3 linked regions of the Oryzias latipes genome follow. Each later gene encodes a partner of the first gene's protein in a complex. Links are inferred from orthologs where the notes say so. Each region holds a gene or a part of one and is shown in the gene's direction. Other genes may lie near its edges.

Region 1 (7,381 bases):
TTTACCTCGTTGGGACTCCTGAGTTCCTGACTTCCTTCAAAGTGCATCCTGGGAAATGTAGGCTACATCTTTTCACGAGGAAACAGGTGTGAGCTGCTGTTCTACTTCCTTACAGTTCTGGAGGGAAGTGGTGGAAGACACTGAAGTCCGGGAGCTGATCTGGGACAAAAGCGGCCTGACCCAAGGTGAGGGCGTGGCCCGGAGGCACACGGGTGTTTGACGAGCTGTCATCGAATGTTTGTTTGACCCGGCTGGGTTCACATGACTCTAGACTTGGTTGATGTGAAATCCATAAATCCATTAACTTTTAAAGCTGTTTTTCTTGTCTCAAGTTTTGGATGTTAAAAAGTAAGAATGAAAAAATTCACTTTTGTTTATTTAAAACTGCCAGATAAGTTTTCTTAACCAAATGAGATGAAGATTCAAGTAAAAATGTGCAAAGAATTGAACAGGAGTGATTCATGACTGGGACAGATGTGCAGATGTTTTAGTACTGTCACACACACACACACACACATCTGGAGGAGGCTGTGCGTCAGTGTCTGTGCAAGTCCAAACCCCTGGCGGCTCTGAAGGCCCTCCCCCTGTGTTGTCTGCGCAGACGGCACGTGTGGAGATCGCTGGCAGAGCCTCTTCCACCCGCCGCGAAACCAGGGCATCAGCGACATGGAGGCCCAGCGGGTGCTGCAGGTCGCCGTCATCCTGCGAAACCTCTCCTTCGAGGAGGCCAACGTCAAGCTGCTGGCGGCCAACCGAACGTGCCTGCGCTTCCTTTTGCTCTGCGCCCACTGTAACCTCATCTCACTAAGACAGCTCGGACTCGACACGCTGGGCAACGTGGCGGCCGAGGTACGGCGCTCGAACGTCAGCGCTCTCACCAGTTTAATGTCGGACAGGATTTTCATGGACCGCTCGGTCCGAGAATGAAGTTGGCGTCTCCGTTGATTTAAAGTTTCCAGTTTTCTTTAACTTTTGAGGGTAGAGATGGTCTCCCTCCTCTGTAGCGTCTTTAACCTTGGTTTCTAGATTTCCTGTTGGAACCGTTCAAATGTGATTTTAGATTTTCTCTCGACTGTCAAAGTGGAAGCTAAAACATCAGACGCCAGCTTCAGCCTCGGATGCTGGACGCTCCCCTCTGTTTGTGTGCGGGGGGTTTGAACATGCGGTTCTCTCGCTGCAGCTCCAGCTCGACCCCGTTGACTTTCGGACGACGCACCTGATCTTTCACACCATCACCAAATGCCTGATGTCCAGAGACCGCTTCCTGAAGATGAGGGGTGAGTCTCCTCCCTGCTCCTGGGCTCCTCTATGTCAGATTGAGCTGACCCCCCCCCCCTGCTCCGTGTGTCCCTCAGCCATGGAGATCCTGGGGAACCTCAGCAAAGCGGACGACAACAGCGTGTTGATCTGCGAGTATGTGGACCAGGAGTCGTACAGGGAGGTGATGATGCTCCTCACCCTGCCCGACCTCATGCTCCTCATGGCCTCCTTGGAGGTGCTGTACCTGCTGGCTCAGCTCGGAGAGGTGTCCTGCAGTAAGATCGCCTCCGTTGACCACAGCATAGGTATGAACCAGAACCGGTCCCAGCAGCAGAAGCAGACTGGTCCGTTTGTCAACGTCTCGTTTCATTCGCCCAGACCTCCTGGTGCGGCTAGTGTCCGTGGACCTGCACACGTTCGGACCCGACGCGTTGACGGCGGTGCGTTTAATCGAGCATCAGGCGAATGCTGAGCAGGTGTCGGAGGTGCGGCCACAGCTGGTGGAGCAGGTCCCCGCATCGGCGCCGGCAGCAGCAGGTGAGCACTTTGGCGTTTCAGAAACACGCCATTTTCCCCCCTTGGGGCTCCCTGGGGGCGGATTCAGGGGCAAACGCCTCTGTACATCTGGACTGTTTGGGTTTTATGTTTGTAAAGATGCAGTGTTTGCTCAAAAACAGTTTTGTTGTTGTTGTGAGAGCTGTAAGCCAGTGGGAGAGAGTGTAAACAAAGAGATGATGGGAAATAAGCCGAGGCTTACTTCCGTGCCAGTGGACCCGTCCACAATTCAGAGGTTAAAATCTAATGAATTCTTCCGCGGATGGTTTCCAGGTATCTGTTGTAGCCACTCCTCCAGCTTGGGGGTTACTGCCCTGAGTGCTCCAATTACCACAGGCACCACTGTCACCTTCACTTTCCATGCTTTCTCCAGTTCTTCTCTGAGTCCCTGGTATTTCTCCAGTTTCTCATGTTCCTTCTTCCTGATGTTCCCATCACTTGGCACTGCCACATCCACCACAACGGCTTTCCTCTGTTTTTTGTCCACCGCTACAATGTCTGTTGGTTCGCCATTACCATCCTACCAGTCTGGATCTGGAAGTCCCACAGGATCTTTGCCCTCTCATTCAAAATTGCTGTAAACGGGAGGAAAATGGAATAATTCAAGTTAGGGCTGAAACGATTCCTCGAGTTATTCGAGTTACTCGATTACAAAAATTCCTCGAGGCAAAAACTCTGCCTCGAAGCCTCGTTAAATTCCCATGACGCGCACTATTCGCGCGGCGCAGGGATTTCATTTGACCGTTTATTCTCACGGACCTTTTGAATTTAGTTGGCGCGATGGCGGAGAATAGATCTATAAATCTTCTTCCACTTTCGGCTTCTCCCATCTGGGGTCGCCACAGCGAACGAGTCGCATGATAGATTTGGCAATGTTTTACGCCGGATGCCCTTCCTGACGCAACCTTCTCAAACCGGGCTTGGAACCGGCAGAGGTAGAGAAGGGAACAGGGAGCAGCCCGGAGTCGAACCGTGGTTTCACGGATGGAAGGCGCCGCAAACCAGCACGAGTTAAACCGGCTCCCCAGGAGAATAGATCTATAAATAAACGGCAGAAATAGAGCTGGCATACCCGCGCGTGCCGCCAGCAGCGAGCGAGAAGCGGCGTCAGCCGCTCCGCGGCGACCAGCGCGGGCCGCGGAGGGGGCGCTGAGAGGCAGGGGCTGGGACAGGCGGTAGCTCGCCTTTCGGTGGACCGCGAGGCTTCTTTAAGTATTGCAAAAATAACAAAAGCATTATTTTTACACGAAACATAAACAATGATAATGATCAAATATGTTTTTCTGATTCTTTTATTTCTAATGGCCTTCCATTTTGGTGTTGTGCCACCCTTTCAAAGTCTTCTGTCCCCCCCCCATACAAAATGTTCTAGCTCCGCCACTTCTCAAGACCAACTTAAAAACACCAAAAGTAACATTTGCATCATAGCGGATCTTTAAAATCAAATGCTTGTTCATTTTACAACCACATCATTTTTGTTATGCAAGATTTGTTTTGGTTGTTCAAAAACACACACAAATCGTTTTATCCGATTACTCGATTAATCGATCGATTAAGTGCTAGATCAGGGGTCACCAACCTTTTCGAGACTGAGGGCTATTTCATGGGCACTAAGTGGTATGAAGGGCGCCACAGGACCTGTTTACTAAATACCTCCTAGCCCCCCCCCCCCCCCCCAACCTCAACCTATTCTCTAAATCTTTGCATTACATGAATCATAAGAATGCCCAGACATTGTGTAGTTTATTTGATCTATTTAAACTTTTGTAATAGACCCTTATTTTTATTTTTTTAAGTCATATTAATAATATCAATAATAATCCATTTTATTTAAAGCGCCTTTCAAGGAACCCAAGGACCCTTTACAAAACAAAGGTTAAGGTTATTTTTGTTTTCGTATTTGTTTTTTTGTTTACCTTTATCTCAGAGTTGATATTGGTGTCATTGACAGACATCCCATGATTGATTGTTGAATATTTGCTTCAATTAAAAAAAAATTTTTTTGGTGCATTTCCTGCGGGCGCCACAAGGGGTGCTCGGGGGCGCATGGGCGCACGCGGGCACAGGGTTGGTGACCCCTGTGCTAGATTAATTGATTACAAAAAGAATCGATAGCTGCAGCCCTAATTCAAGTACTTCGAAGACCGATTGGAAATAACTTTTTTTAAAACAAAGCCAGAGCTATAAAGCTATAAATCAGATATATAATTCTGTGAATACATTCTTATGTCCCTGTTAATAATAAATGACACCATTTAGTCCAAATGTGGTGTAAACAAAAATAAAAGTAGCTAAGCGCTTTCATTCAAGTTATTTAAGACGTTAACTGCTTTCAGATTAAATTACCAAAGATAAAAAACATGAACCTAAAGTCCATCTGAAAGTAAAGCTTTTTGAGATGTGATGTATGGTTTATAAGTTGATGTTTTTCTCAGCATGTTCAGGAGTGAGTGAACGTCTCTGGGCACTAATATCTCCTGCAGTGGAAAAACTTTAGTCCTGGGAATTCACAAATGTGCCACTTTGGAGAGCAGAGGGAACACATGCTGTAGAGATTGCTGCTCTGGTTGACACAGCAGTGGTTGAAACGTCTTCATTCAGATTTCTGCCTGGCGTTCCTCCATCGATCCGTTCTGTGCCCCCGCAGCTCCTCTTCCTCCTCTCCTGCGCTCAGCGTTCGCACAAATCCAGGGAACCACGCTTCCAAATGTCCTGCATAGCGATCTTTCATCACGGCACGGGAACCTCCTCCTGGACGTCTTTGGGTTTCTGGACTTTAGTGCAGCGTTTTCTTCTCCTGCTGTTGGATCTCATGCTGGGTTGTGTTGTAAACATGAGCTGTGTTCCTGAGAGGGGAAGACACGCCTTCTTTCACACACTTGTCTGCCAACATACAGTTTTTTTGCTCTGCGCTGTGGTCTTTGTGAAGCTGGAGCCGCGGGTTTGAGTCTCAGATGCTGCAAAACTGCATCAAAACGGAAACGTTCTGTTGAAATCCTTTAATAGGATTTGCGTTTACATGTGGATTATTACAGTTTAAGTCCTTTGATTTATTGTAAAAGCCTTCCCAGTGCTCTTTTTAATTATTATCCATTAAAGCGGGGCTATCAGAATGGAGCGGAGCAGGGAGTTTGTAGCTCTGTCACCAAGAGAATCTTTTTCAAACAATTTCTTTTGGTCTGCTCCTGATTTACAATAATTTCAATAAAGAGATGCTCAGAAAAGCAGTTGTTCATTTAATTTTCTTGATATGTTGTTCTTCATCATCAGAAACGTGTTAGAAAACACCAAAAACAGGATTTTCATCAGTGGATCTTTAACTGAGTTTGCTGACCTCTTGTGGAGAAACCAGGAACCTGCATGTGTCGCCGCTCATTTCCTCTACAGCTTGATAATAAAACCAGTTTTTATTAATCTCTGAATGCTTTCTGTCCCGTCAGTAACGAGGGTCCCAGTTCAGTCCTCCCAACCTCCTCCTGGGATCGTTGAACTGGATGGAGAGAAGTTCACGCTGCAGTGGTGAGATACTTTATTTTTCATAACTCATTTGTTTGTTTGTTATTTTTTCCCCCCTCATCTGTTTCTGCTTCCCTCACAGGTTAAACGCACACTTCGAGACCAACTCTGAAGGCTCTGTGTCTCGGTCAGAGATGTACTCTGAGTACTTATCCACGTGCAGCAAAATGGGACGAAGCAATATCTTGAACTCCACCGGCTTCCTCAAGTGTCTGCGGTGAGTCTGCAGCATCAGCACAGACTTTATCCCATCAGATTCTTCAGCTGCAGGACGATGAATGCAATGACTCTGTCCTCCATAACCGGACTTTATCCTGGCTGTCGCAGGACGGTGTTTCCCAACCACACCATGCGGCGGCAGGACGAGGCCAAAGCCGGCAGCCAGGTCCAGATACTGCTGGTGGGGATCAGGCCGAGGGCCATCCCTCTGCCCGTCCAGTTATACTATCAGCAGCAGCAGAACCCGGCTCCTCCCACTCCTCCTTCTGCGCCTCGACATGAGGCGCCAGCAGACGCTAAGGCCCCTCCTCCAGGTACGACCGGCAACTGCCTTAGTCTGCTGACCCATTGGTACACCTCCACAGCACAGTGTTTACATTCTGTTATGGAGTTTGTAAAGATTTGACTGTATAAGAGAACTGGGCGTTAATCTGTACGCTATGGTCACTTAGAAAAAAATTAAATAAATCGTTGTTTTTTTTAGCACTTTATTCTTTTTTCGGTTGAAATCACTTTTTCCCAAAAACGGACTATTTAATACGTGGTGCATCGTGTCGTCATGGTAACGACCTCGACTGCAGCGGCAAAGGAAGGCGATATATATGCTGGTCGTCACGATGGGTTAGATAGACAGAGGGAAAGTTCTCCTCTTTCTGCTTGTTTTTGTCCAGAGGATGAAGCTAAAGTTTGTTTTCAAGAAGCCGGCGCAGTGATACGGAACATTCAAGCTATGTGACCGGAACTACTTTTGCAGGCGTGCATTGTCACTTTCTAATGCACAGCCAGCAGCCAATCAGAATCGAGTATTCCCCTTGACCATGGTGTGGTAATGGAGCTGTCTATTTCTCTATAGACGTCTATGGGATTTTGGCATCTTGGAGCCAGAGGGTACTTCCTGTTTGGAACTTCAGGGGGCGGAGTCACTGAGTCCAGTTCTCATATACGGTTAATGCCGCACATTTGATCTTCTTGATGGAGTTTTACAAAGATCTTTTGTGATTAAAGAAAAAAACAAGTTGAAACTGTAGAAAAAAATTAGTGATTGTTCTTCTGACAGTGTTGTTGGATTCTTTCCCTGCAGGCAGTTTTTGTAGCCATAAATCATGACGACAACCGACGGCAACGTTTTTAAAAAAAAAAGGGTCTTCACGCACAGACAGGAAGTTTCTCTTTTCATCTAAACTCTGTTCTGTGTTTTTTTAGGTTTACCTCCCCCACATTTTGTCCGGGCACCGGGCCCCACCCTCAACTCCAACACAGCCACGCCCTCCACTGTTTTAACTGCACACGAACCCCCCCAAGCAAGCCACCAGACAGTTGTCCGGCAGCCGGCACCCCCACCTGTTACCACGCATCTGCCCCAACAGCTGACACCAAACCCCCTGGCAGCTCAGCAGCAGCTGCAAGGAGGGCCGGTGGTCCAGATTCCAACATCTCCCCCTGCCACCCAGAACCACAGCCCCCAGAACCCCCTTCCATCCAACTCGCAACAGCAGCACTCCCCCATGCTACCAGCCGGAACGCCCGTCACGCTATTCCAGCCGTTCCCCCAAGGCCACATCCTCACTGCCAAGGTGCAAAGTGTGTGCCCCCCCATCTCCCAGCACCCACCTGTGCTTCAGTCCCCGCCTCCATCTGGACTTCCGGGCGGGGCCTCCCAGGGCGACTCTCAGAGTGTCGCCTCCACGCCGCCCTCTCTCAACCCGGTTCCTCACAACCAGGGGTCACGGGTCACGTTTCAGAACATCGCCCCGAAACCAGCACCGAGCCAGCCGGGGGGGGCGGCCGTTCCCCTGGCGGCTTCCAGCCCGCAGCAGAGCGTGGTGATCGT
Region 2 (3,500 bases), on another chromosome or scaffold:
AACTATGTCCTAGAAAACGACACAGGCTTTTAGATTGAAATTAGAACAAAAAAACCTCTAGGAACGCTTTGAAACTAGATCAAAAAGGACTTTAGGTATTTTGAGGATTAGTTGACCTTTTGCTAACCCCCCCTTTTCCCTCCATAAGCCCCCCCAGTACAAGCTGGACCCCCGTCTGGCCCGTCTGCTGGGCGTGCACACGCAGACTCGGGCCAGCATCATGCAAGCCCTGTGGCTTTACATCAAGAACAACAAGCTGCAGGACTGCCACGAGAAGGAGTTCATCAACTGCAACCGCTACTTCAGACAGGTGAGACTCTGGCGAGGGGGCGGGGCTATTAGAGTCCGACTCCTGGCTCTAATTTACTGTGTCCTGTTCAGATCTTTAACTGTCCACGCATGAGGTTCTCTGAGATTCCCATGAAGCTGGCGGGCCTGCTGCAGCACCCTGACCCCATCGTCATCAATCACATCATCAGGTGGGGAGGGGTTGTTCTTTCTTCATCGCTCTGCGCGAGTGTAAGAGCAGCTCTACAAACATCAAAAGTTCAGTGATATATTTAAGAACCAAAGTAAATGATGAGGAATAGAAAAAGGAATATTATTTATTTAATGGCAGCAGCACTTTTAACCCCTTCATGGGGTATGTTAGTACTTATTACTAAATCCAGACTCCATTGAATTTGGCATCACCTTGAACCCAAAAAACATTGAAGAATATCTTTTTTTGTAGAATTGGTAATTATGTAAGGCATGAAGGGGTTAAAGAGAAGTCTTCTAGGGGTTAACCGAAGAGTAGAATAATTGGAAGAAGCAAATATTTGTCCTAAAACTGGAAATCATTATTAATTTCTGGCTTGTTGCAAATGCTAAGACTTCTTAAAACTTGAGCATAAAGTTTTATTGTTGAAATAACTTTGTTTATAGGATGGAGAACTAAAATGCAGACCAGAGATTTCAAAACATGACATGGATCATTTGTCTCTTACTATCTGCCTCTGCAGTGAAAAGGATTTCCTTCTTCAATATGTGGAGTTTTTTGTAAAGCTCTGGAAAAGCTAGAAATGGACTTTAATTGTCTCTGAGAAGAACATAAAACTGTGAAATATAGTTCATACTGCTTTTGATCTAAAGTCAGAAACAAAGTAAATCTGTTTGTAATGAAAACACTTACTGGATTTCGTTATCAGTGAGCACAAACGTTGGCTTTGTCAACAAATGCACAACAAACACGACGTGCCTGGGATGTTTTTAGAAGCCTTTTCGTGAAACCTCCCAGTAGCTATTAGTCCCTTTTCTTCCGTGTCACAGTGTGGACCCCACAGACCAGAAGAAAACCGCTTGCTATGACATCGACGTGGAGGTGGACGACCCTCTGAAAACCCAGATGAACAGCTTCCTGTCCTCCGCCAACAGCCAGCAGGAAATCGCCACTCTAGAAATGAAGGTGTGGCCTCAGGAGTTCCCGCAGAAGCTTTTTACAGCTGCAGCTGGTTGTAAGCATTCATTGTAAAAATGTGTTCATTTGTTTCTTTTTTTTTACTTCAGATTCATGAAACAATCGAGTATATTAACCAACTCAAGACTGAGAGAGACTTCATGCTGAGCTTCAGCAACAGTCCTCAGGAGTTCATTCAGGACTGGCTGAAGTCTCAGTGCAGAGATCTGAAGGTAATGTCCTCACCTTTGACCTTTTTCTGGAGAATTCTTTACCTTCTTAAAGCGTTTCTCCTGGCTTATACCCGGATTCTCTCACTGCTTTCTACATATGTTGCAGTTCTATTTTAATGTAACCTTGACATGATCAATGACAGCAAATATGACGTCACCCATTTGCCAAAAATAAAATCTAAGAAATATGAATATTTTACAAGCACTATTTATGAATGTGGATATTGTAAAAAAAAAACAAATTGAAATAGGTTTTATTCAAATGACAAATCTTTGAAATGCATTGTGGTCTATATTTGCCAATCTAGTGGCAATCTGGGAAATTTCCAGGGCACTTGTGTTTTGTAAATGTTGATTTAGACAACCCAAAAAAAATGGCGTACGCCCTATAAAGTGCACCAAGTAGTGAGGGAATTCGGACTGAAGCTTATTTATGAAATATTTCTGACATATTTTTTTTTTTTTGGTTCTTCAGCTGATGACAGATGTGACCGGAAACCCGGAGGAGGAGAGGAGGGCTGAGTTCTACGAGGCTCCCTGGATGCCAGAGGCAGTGGGTAGATACGTCTACTCCAAAGTGAGTAACGGTAGAGGCCGAAGCGTTTTCCGATGCTCACATTCCAAAGACGCACTGAAACGAGCTTTTTTTCTCTTTTTTTTAAGGTGCAGCAGCGAAGACAAGAGTTGGAGCAGGTGTTGGGAATCCGACTCACCTGAAGACGCCTTCCAGACGACCAGATTTCAGCCTCACGTCTCATCGGAAACGGATGTATGCAGCAGTCCGCCTTAAAATATTGATAATCCCGGCTCTATGTCTTTAAGTAAACATAGATTCTGCGAGCCATGATCCCAGGTTTCCCGCAGACCGCCTTTGACCTTTCATTTTTTTCTGTTTTTTGCCTGTTCTGTCCACATGTTATTGAGTCGTACACTGTCTATCTAGCCTTATTTTTTTCTTCAGTGTCTTAAAGCTTGTGCAATGATCACTTCTCCTCCTCTCTATTAAAGTCCTTTCTGTCGATGCTCATGTGCTCACGTTGAGCCTGCAGCAGATTTCTTTGTTGCTTCAGCTAAGGGTCACAGTCCTTTCAATCCCCAGACCGCTCTTCTCCAATTTCAGCCTCATTTATCTTGTTGTCTTGTAAAGTAGGGTGTTATCAAAGGGAAAATCTTCAGAACAAACATCATATCTGAAATAAAATGAACCCCGGCGGCACTTTTCCAGTTTTTCCGTCTCCCTTTTGTCTATTTAAACGTAGGTGGGGACCTTCCTCGGTGCAGGAAGCATCTGTTTGCTCTTCATCGCCACACTGAGCCGGTTGAAGTAATGTCTGCCTTGTAATGTAAAAACCTTTTTTTTAATGGTACACAAATGTTTAAGCACTGGTTCTTGCCATCCTGTGGTCCTTCACGGGTGTTTTTTTTTTTTTTTTTACTTTCTAAAAGCCATAATTATTCAATGCACCTGTATTTGAATATTTAGCCATACTTTAAATACACTTGCTTCAGAAATGTCTTTTGTTTAAAAAAAAAATGTTCAAAAATATTTTTATGCAAATAATAATTCTGCAATATTTGTCTTTATGTGTGTTGGGGCTGGGTTTGTTATAAAAATCAAACCTTTTCTGTGTCGGGCCAAGATTGTCCAACAAAAAATAGGTATATTTTATAATGGACAACTCTTTGTTTTTGTATTTTCTGAAAGTTTACATTCTGTTATTGATTTTTGGTGTGAATGATTTTAATTACAAAAATCATAAACTATGTCTAGTGTTGTAAATTGAAGCCTCAGATCTTTGACTGGTGTTGACGGTAAAATAGGAATTCAG
Region 3 (7,381 bases), on another chromosome or scaffold:
AAGTTTGCTAGAGCATAGGGACAAGTACAAGTGATCCGTGTAAAGCAATAAGGAATGGATCTAGACACACGGGCCACTTCAATAGCAACAGCTGTTCAACAGCTTGTTAACGCAACTTTCTAATCAGCCAATCACATGGCAGCAACTCATGTGTAGACATGGTTCAGACGATCTGCTGCAGTTCAAACCAGCATCAGAATGGAGAAGAAAGGTGATTGAAATGACTTTGAACGTGGCATGGTTGTTGGTGCCAGACGGGCTGGTCTGAGGATTTAAGAAACTGCTGATCTGCTGGGATTTTCACCCACAACCATCTCTGGGGTTTACAGACAATGGTCCAAAAAAGAGGAAAATGTCCAGTGACCAGTGTTAGACAACAGAAGATTGTAAAACCGTTGTGTGGTCTGATGAGTCTCCATTTCTGCTGCCACATTGGGATGGTCGGGTCAGAATTTGGCATCAACAACATGAAAGCATGGATCCATCCTGCCTTCTATCAACGCGTCAGGGTGGTGGGGGTGTCATGGTGTGGGGGATATTTTCTTGGCACACTTTGCGTACCTTAGTACCAACTGAGCATGGTTCCAACACCACAGCCTACCTGAGTATTGTTGCTGACCATGTCCATGCCTTTATGACCACAGAGAACCATCTTCAGATGCTACTTCCAGCAGGATAAGGCAGCTTGTCATAAAGCTGGAATCATCAGACTGGTTTCTAGAACATGATAGTGAGTTCTCTGGACTCAAACGGCCTCCACACTCACCAGAACCCATTAGAGAACTTTTGGGATGTGGTGGAACGGAACAGGAGATCTGCATCATGGATGTTCAGCCAACAAATCTGCAGCAACTGATGCTGTCATGTCAACATGGACCAAACTCTCTGAGGAATGTTTCCAGAACCTTGTTGAATCTATGCCACCAAAGGTTAAGGTAGTTCTGAGGGCAAAAGGGGGTCCAACCAGGTACCAGCAAGGTTTATCTAATAAAGTGGCCGGTGAGTGTAAATATGGAGAGATTCAAAGTGAAGTTCTCCTTCAATCAGTGAAAACATTGAGGATGAAACTTGGCTGGATCTTCCAGCATGGCAGTGATCCCAAACACATCACCAGTGTGCCTACAGAAAAATGCATTTTAAGGTTCTGAAATGTTGTTGCCAGTCTCCACATCTAGAAAATCCAGCAACAACCCCAAAAGGTCACAGGTTTAGAGGAGATGTGCATGGAGGAACGGGCCTAAACAGCAGCTACAGTGTGGGAAAACTTTTTCAAGACTTGCAGAAGATGTTTGACTTCTGTCAATGCTAACAAAGTAATGCCATGAACTTTAGTAACTGACCAAATACTTATTTTCCACAATAATTGACTCTCTAAACAACAGACAATGTGATTTTCTGGATTGTTTTTTCTCATTTAGTTTAAAATATGATGAAAATACAGACTTGTGTCATGTTTTAAGTGCAAAAACGTAAATAAGTACACTGTGGAGGAAAACTTGTGACTGACTGCAGAACCAGTTTCGTACTTTTGTTGTCTAATTTTACTTATCTTATTTCTTTTTAAAATTTTGCCCTTCCTATATTTACCCTGACTTGAGAGATACCAAAGAAAAATTCTGATGTTCTGTATGTGCAAACGGCAGTAAAACCTTGACTTGACTGTAAGTCCATGCAGAACTCTTGTGACTTGTTTGGACTAAAATTAAGATTAAAGATTGTGTTTTTCTTTTAGAATTAGTAGAAGTGATGTTGTGTTATCATCCTTTTTTCTTGTATTTTTCACTCTTTACATTTCTATCCTTTTTTAATTTTTTGAGCTAAGAGTCAAAACAGTTGGAAAAAGAAAAAATCAAAGTCCACTCTGCATCTTGACTGAATAATGCACTTAAAAGGTGCGACTACTATTCAATTTTACAATCAGTGGGAGTCATTTCTGCCAGAATCAATGGCAGAAGTGAAGTGAATTTCGTGTTCTTTGCCAGACCAATTCAATTGAGGAGTTTACGTAAAGGTTTTAGTGGTTGCATTGCCTTCAGATGCATGCTAACAAGACATCAATGTCCTGTTTGTCAGGTCCATGCAAAGTGGATTTTAGATTTGGACCAGTACAACGAGTGGATGAACGAGGAGGACTATGAGGTTGGAGAGGGCTGTCCTAAGAGGAAGAGGATCTCTGCCAAGACCCTGACGGATGAGGTGACCACACCTGATGAGCGGAGAGACAAGAAACCGAGCAGTGCCAAGAAGCGAAAACGCTCCCCATCGCCTTCCCCCACCCCTCCACCCCAGGAGAGCAAAAAGAAGAACACCAAAAAAGGGTATGCAGACATCTCCGGATGCATGAAGCCATTGCCTCTGAAATTAGGATGCAGAACAAGGAAGGATGTTGACAGAAAAATGCATTTGATAAAGCTGATCCTGTCTTAAGCCCTCTTCTCATTCAGCGTCCGAAACCCTTCTCCAGTCCCGACACACACTGCAGGGTTTAGCCGTGCTATAATATAGATCAAAATAACCTTCTGTCCTTCATGTATGTGCTGATAGACCAACAACCCCATACACCAAGTCTAAACGAGGCCAGAGAGAGGAGGAACAGGAGGATCTGTCCAAGGACCTGGATGAAACGTCACCTGTTCCACCGTCTGAAGATGGGAATGCAGCAAAGACAAGTATGCACATTTACATCCCTGTTCACTTTAGATAAGATGGAACTGTGAAAACACACCTTATTGTTCACTCTGACAACCGTTCACTCAGTCACTGTTGGTGAAACATGAACAAAGGGAGGATTGTCACCTTGGTAGCTTTCACTTAAAGGCGAATAAATCCTAACCTTGTGTTTGTGGGACAGTTGGTAAAGCTGACAGAACTTGACTGCACGGATGTTCCTGTTGAAGGGGCTGGTGATTTCTTTGAAGAAGCCCTGGAGTTGGACCTATTTACTTAGTGAAAACCTTCTGTTTCTGTGCAGATAATACCAAGAAAGACTCAGATTCCACTCCAGTCAAGGGAGGAACTGACATGGGTGAGTCTAGTAAAGGGGGCAGACGCATTCGTCTGGCAACTGCGTGGGGTGTTGAGAAAAATATATTCTATTTGTTGATGTATCGCAACAATTCATTTGACGATACTTGTATTGATTTAAAATACTGTCAAGAGGATTTTTATTTAGTTGTTTATGAGCGTCCATCAGCGTCTGACTCCTTTTCCTCTTAGGCCCCCGACCGCTAGTTGGCAGCACCGCCCACTGAGCCTCTTTGAGCAGCTCTATAATGCACCAAAACAGATCTCGTGAGAATTAGCTTAAGTTAAATGTTCAGGTTTTGTTGTTATGAGACCTGAATTTTTAATTTCTTAAAATAAAAATGAAAAATTGGTGTATATTTATTCATATCTAAGGGGAATCTGACTGGAAATATGGGATTGGGCAACTATACATTAGGACTTAAACACTGTCCATATAACCTAACCTGACAGAATCAAATGTAAAAGGATTTATGCTAGAGTAACAAGCACACATATGTTTCTATGCAACTGTAATTGTCGCTTTAAAAAGTTATAATAAATAAATAATGAGTTATTTAACATTAAGGAGTAGTTACATTTATTTATCAGTACATTTAGTTACATGTCTAAGTTATATCTGGCCCTTTGAGGACAGCCACTATGCTGATGTGGCCCTCAGTGAAAATGACTTTGACACCCCTGCTGTAGCCAATACACACCCCTTGGAACTGTTTTATTATTACTAGCTGTTCTTCTGTTGAATTGATTTGATTTATTGATTGATTTCAAGCATTGTAGTCAAAGCAATAAAGAATTTGCACATATTTTTTAAACTCATTACAGAAATTTTGAAATGCATAGATTAAAAAGACAGAAAATAAAACAAAACAAAACAAAACAAAAATGTCACTTAAATCACATTTGCTTAATTAAATACAGTGATCATTAACTAAAGTATAAGTATAGCTTGATTTATTGCTGGAAAAGCAGCGGGAATAAGCAAACCTATATAATCCCACCCCTACTGAGTTAATTCATTTTACAGTTTTTGTAATCCGGTTCTGATCCGATAGAGTCTTTTCAAGTAACAAAATGATTGATTATCTTCAGAAAACATTCATTTATTTATATCAGTAAACAGTATCGGTAACCAATATGTGATAACCATTGATTATTATTAGAACACATGATGACATTAAACCATTAATTATTGCTGCACATTGCAGATCAAGTAAACAAAATCAATAGTTATTGATTGTAATTTAAACGTTTCATTAATCATTATTACACATTACAATGTAAAACTCAGTGGTTGTAATTAAAAGAGCTTTGATTATTTCACCACAATCAAGTTCACACATGTATTTAGAATTATTCAAACAGCTGTTGATCCTTAAATCTTCTTATTTTCATATTGTGAAATCAGAGTTTCTTCATACCTTTTCTTGAATATTTGGATATTTGAACATTTTTTGAGCTCATTACTTAACTTGTTCCAAAGTTTGTTGCCACACACAGAAACTTTTCTTTGTGGTTCTTATCAGTTTGATCTTGACGTTCCTACATCCTCTCAGTTTGTAGCCTTGTAGCCTCCTTCATTTTCTAAGAACTGTTTCTGGATGTTGAATGGTAACGATTTCCCACTGACTCTGAATTAAGCAGATGAGCAAGAGGACGAGTCCATGGAAACCACAGGGAAGGTATTGTCACCTCCAGCAGCGGCGCTTTTAAAACATGGACGCAAACATTCAGAAAAGACGTGTTTGTTTGAGCTCGGGTGTTCTTGTTCCAACAGGAAGAGGAGGAAGGCTCTCCGAGTGTGAAGGGGGAGCCAGTGAAGAGTTCAGATCTTCACGAGGACAACGTGACTGAACAAACGCACCACATCATCATACCAAGCTATGCTGCCTGGTTTGACTACAACAGGTACAAATGACCCTTTTCAACTTATTTAGCAGGAGTTGATCTTCAGGATCATATTCAGTATACAATGTTGCAACAGTTGAGCGTTACAATAGTGACATGAACTCAAAGCTCTTCATAAACTCTGTGATGCAGTGTTCATGCCATCGAGCGCAGAGCCCTTCCTGAGTTTTTCAATGGGAAGAACAAATCCAAAACTCCTGAGATGTAAGTCCTGCATAGATACTGTTCCTTAAAGAAAGTAACAGATTACTATATTTCTTCACCTTTGTTGTATTGATGCACTGTGTCGTTTTGGATGATCTCCGTTTTCTTCCTCTGTCTCGTTCTGTCAGTTATCTGGCGTACAGAAACTTCATGATTGACACCTACAGACTAAACCCTCAGGAGTATCTGACCTCCACCGCCTGCCGTAGGAACTTGGCGGGAGATGTGTGCGCCATCATGAGGTAAGTGGAGCATCTGTTTACATCTCCTCTCACATCTAGCAGCTAACAGGCTGTCAGTACTTCTTTGTTTGTTTGCTCTACAGAGTCCATGCCTTTTTGGAACAATGGGGGCTGATCAACTACCAAGTGGACTCTGAAAGTCGGCCCACACCGATGGGACCCCCACCCACCTCTCACTTCCATGTCCTGGCGGACACCCCATCCAGTTTAGTTCCACTGCAGCCCAAGACCTCCCAGGTGTGTGTATCCTCAGACATTCTCATGCAAATGAAACCTGACCCCGATTGACCTTTTTCCTTCCGTCCCGGTTTTCCTGCAGACTCCTGCCCCCCAGCCAATTATGTCTTTTCCTGATAAAATGAAGGAGAAGCCAACAGACCTGCAGAACTTTGGGCTGCGGACTGACATGTACAGCAAGAAAACTTGCTCTGTGAAGGTAACAAACCAGCTACAACAATCCCTGCACTGTTAATCAGTTTAATTTATCATTATGAATCAATTTTGACAACAAATGTTTGTGTGAAGAGCAAGAGTGCAGCGAGTTCCATGAGGGAGTGGACAGAACAAGAAACGCTACTACTCCTTGAGGTAAAACATGTCTCACGTTCATTGTTGTGGCTGTGATTTCCTGTTTTTTCCTGCTAAAACTGTGAGACATTGTGTTATGACTCTTTACTAGTAGGACAGCTGAGATGGCGCTAAATCACGTCCTCCTTTCTGTCAGGGTTTGGAGATGTACAAGGATGACTGGAACAAAGTGTCTGAACACGTGGGCAGCCGTACACAGGACGAGTGCATTCTGCACTTCCTGCGGCTGCCCATTGAAGATCCATACTTGGAGGACAGCTCCTCATCGATGGGCCCTCTGGCCTATCAGCCGGTACCCTTCAGCCAAGCAGGAAACCCCGTCATGAGCACTGTGGCCTTCCTCGCCTCTGTTGTTGACCCACGTGTGGCGTCCGCTGCGGCCAAGTCGGCTCTCGGTGACGCATTGATTCTACATGCACTGGTGATGCTTGACTAACGTTCTCCACATTTACAAGCATGAACTTCCTCCCTTTCAGAGGAATTCTCTCGGATGAAGGAGGAAGTTCCTGCTGCGCTTGTTGAGGCCCACGTACGGCGGGTGGAGGAAGCGGCGAGGGTCAGTGGCCGACAGGATCCGCTCTATGGTTTGGAAGGTAGCGGCATCGCAGGAACTGGCTTGGAGGAAGGAGAGCGTCCTGGTAGGTTTGAATCCACTGCATTCAAACTGCACAACACAGAAACCCTACGAGTGCAGCGACATTTAACTGCTGGACTTGTCTTCCCCTCAGAGGAAAGCAACGATGAAAGCAAAAATGACAACCAGTCAAATGAAGAGAAGAAAGAGGCCAAAGTATGTTGCATAGTTTAAAGTGGTGGAATTCAATTTGGGTAGGCATGTCTTAATCTGGGTTGGTTCACAACACAGGACAGCAAAGAAGGAACGATGGTGGAAGAGGAGAAGCATACAGAGAATGAGAAGAAGGAAGAAGAGAAAGGAAGAGAGGCTGAAGGAGACAGGGAAGGAGACAAGACAGAGGCGGAAATAGGTGTGAAACGATTTCTTCATGGACGGAGAAAACTGAGTTTTTCTCCAAGTTGAAAGATAAAAACCATTTTTTTTTCTTCCAGGCAATGAGGAGAAGGAAAAAGACAGAAAAGAGGAAACAGAAGAGGGACAAAGAGAAGGAGAGAGTGATGGAGAAAGAAAGGCGAAAGTGGAACGGGATGTAGGAGAAGGAAACCTGGCGACTGCTGCCGCCTCTGCTTTAGCAGCTGCTGCTGTCAAAGCCAAGGTGAAGTGAACTTCATTTCATCGCCTTCAGCCACTTCTACAACATCTGATTCTTAATCACCTATTTTCCAGCATTTAGCCGCAGTGGAAGAGAGGAAGATCAAATCCTTGGTGGCTCTGCTGGTGGAGACCCAAATGAAGAAGCTTGAGATTAAACTACGACATTTTGAAGAACTGGAAACCA

Evidence for each region.
Region 2: arid2 (region 1) and SWI/SNF-related matrix-associated actin-dependent regulator of chromatin subfamily D member 2 share a complex: the UniProt entries of both Homo sapiens proteins name them as parts of the SWI/SNF-B (PBAF) chromatin remodeling complex. The link is inferred for Oryzias latipes from reciprocal best matches to the Homo sapiens genes ARID2 and SMARCD2.
Region 3: arid2 (region 1) and smarcc2 share a complex: the UniProt entries of both Homo sapiens proteins name them as parts of the SWI/SNF-B (PBAF) chromatin remodeling complex. The link is inferred for Oryzias latipes from reciprocal best matches to the Homo sapiens genes ARID2 and SMARCC2.

Annotation. Positions count from the first base shown.
Region 1 is NC_019881.2:4,001,404-4,008,784, forward strand, and holds part of arid2 (AT-rich interactive domain-containing protein 2), read left to right. Parts: intron 1-115; coding exon 116-185; intron 186-601; coding exon 602-849; intron 850-1,180; coding exon 1,181-1,277; intron 1,278-1,355; coding exon 1,356-1,565; intron 1,566-1,638; coding exon 1,639-1,797; intron 1,798-5,255; coding exon 5,256-5,334; intron 5,335-5,413; coding exon 5,414-5,548; intron 5,549-5,658; coding exon 5,659-5,864; intron 5,865-6,753; coding exon 6,754-7,381. UniProt on the Homo sapiens protein: Involved in transcriptional activation and repression of select genes by chromatin remodeling (alteration of DNA-nucleosome topology). Required for the stability of the SWI/SNF chromatin remodeling complex SWI/SNF-B (PBAF).
Region 2 is NC_019877.2:6,911,382-6,914,881, reverse strand, and holds part of SWI/SNF-related matrix-associated actin-dependent regulator of chromatin subfamily D member 2, read left to right. Parts: intron 1-148; coding exon 149-310; intron 311-381; coding exon 382-479; intron 480-1,311; coding exon 1,312-1,447; intron 1,448-1,548; coding exon 1,549-1,671; intron 1,672-2,146; coding exon 2,147-2,248; intron 2,249-2,334; coding exon 2,335-2,388; 3' UTR 2,389-3,500. UniProt on the Homo sapiens protein: Involved in transcriptional activation and repression of select genes by chromatin remodeling (alteration of DNA-nucleosome topology).
Region 3 is NC_019863.2:4,295,641-4,303,021, reverse strand, and holds part of smarcc2 (SWI/SNF complex subunit SMARCC2), read left to right. Parts: intron 1-2,073; coding exon 2,074-2,318; intron 2,319-2,544; coding exon 2,545-2,669; intron 2,670-2,971; coding exon 2,972-3,025; intron 3,026-4,665; coding exon of another isoform or gene 4,666-4,668; coding exon 4,669-4,706; intron 4,707-4,801; coding exon 4,802-4,932; intron 4,933-5,064; coding exon 5,065-5,136; intron 5,137-5,264; coding exon 5,265-5,378; intron 5,379-5,461; coding exon 5,462-5,615; intron 5,616-5,697; coding exon 5,698-5,814; intron 5,815-5,903; coding exon 5,904-5,966; intron 5,967-6,102; coding exon 6,103-6,361; intron 6,362-6,442; coding exon 6,443-6,756; intron 6,757-6,831; coding exon 6,832-6,952; intron 6,953-7,034; coding exon 7,035-7,198; intron 7,199-7,269; coding exon 7,270-7,381. UniProt on the Homo sapiens protein: Involved in transcriptional activation and repression of select genes by chromatin remodeling (alteration of DNA-nucleosome topology).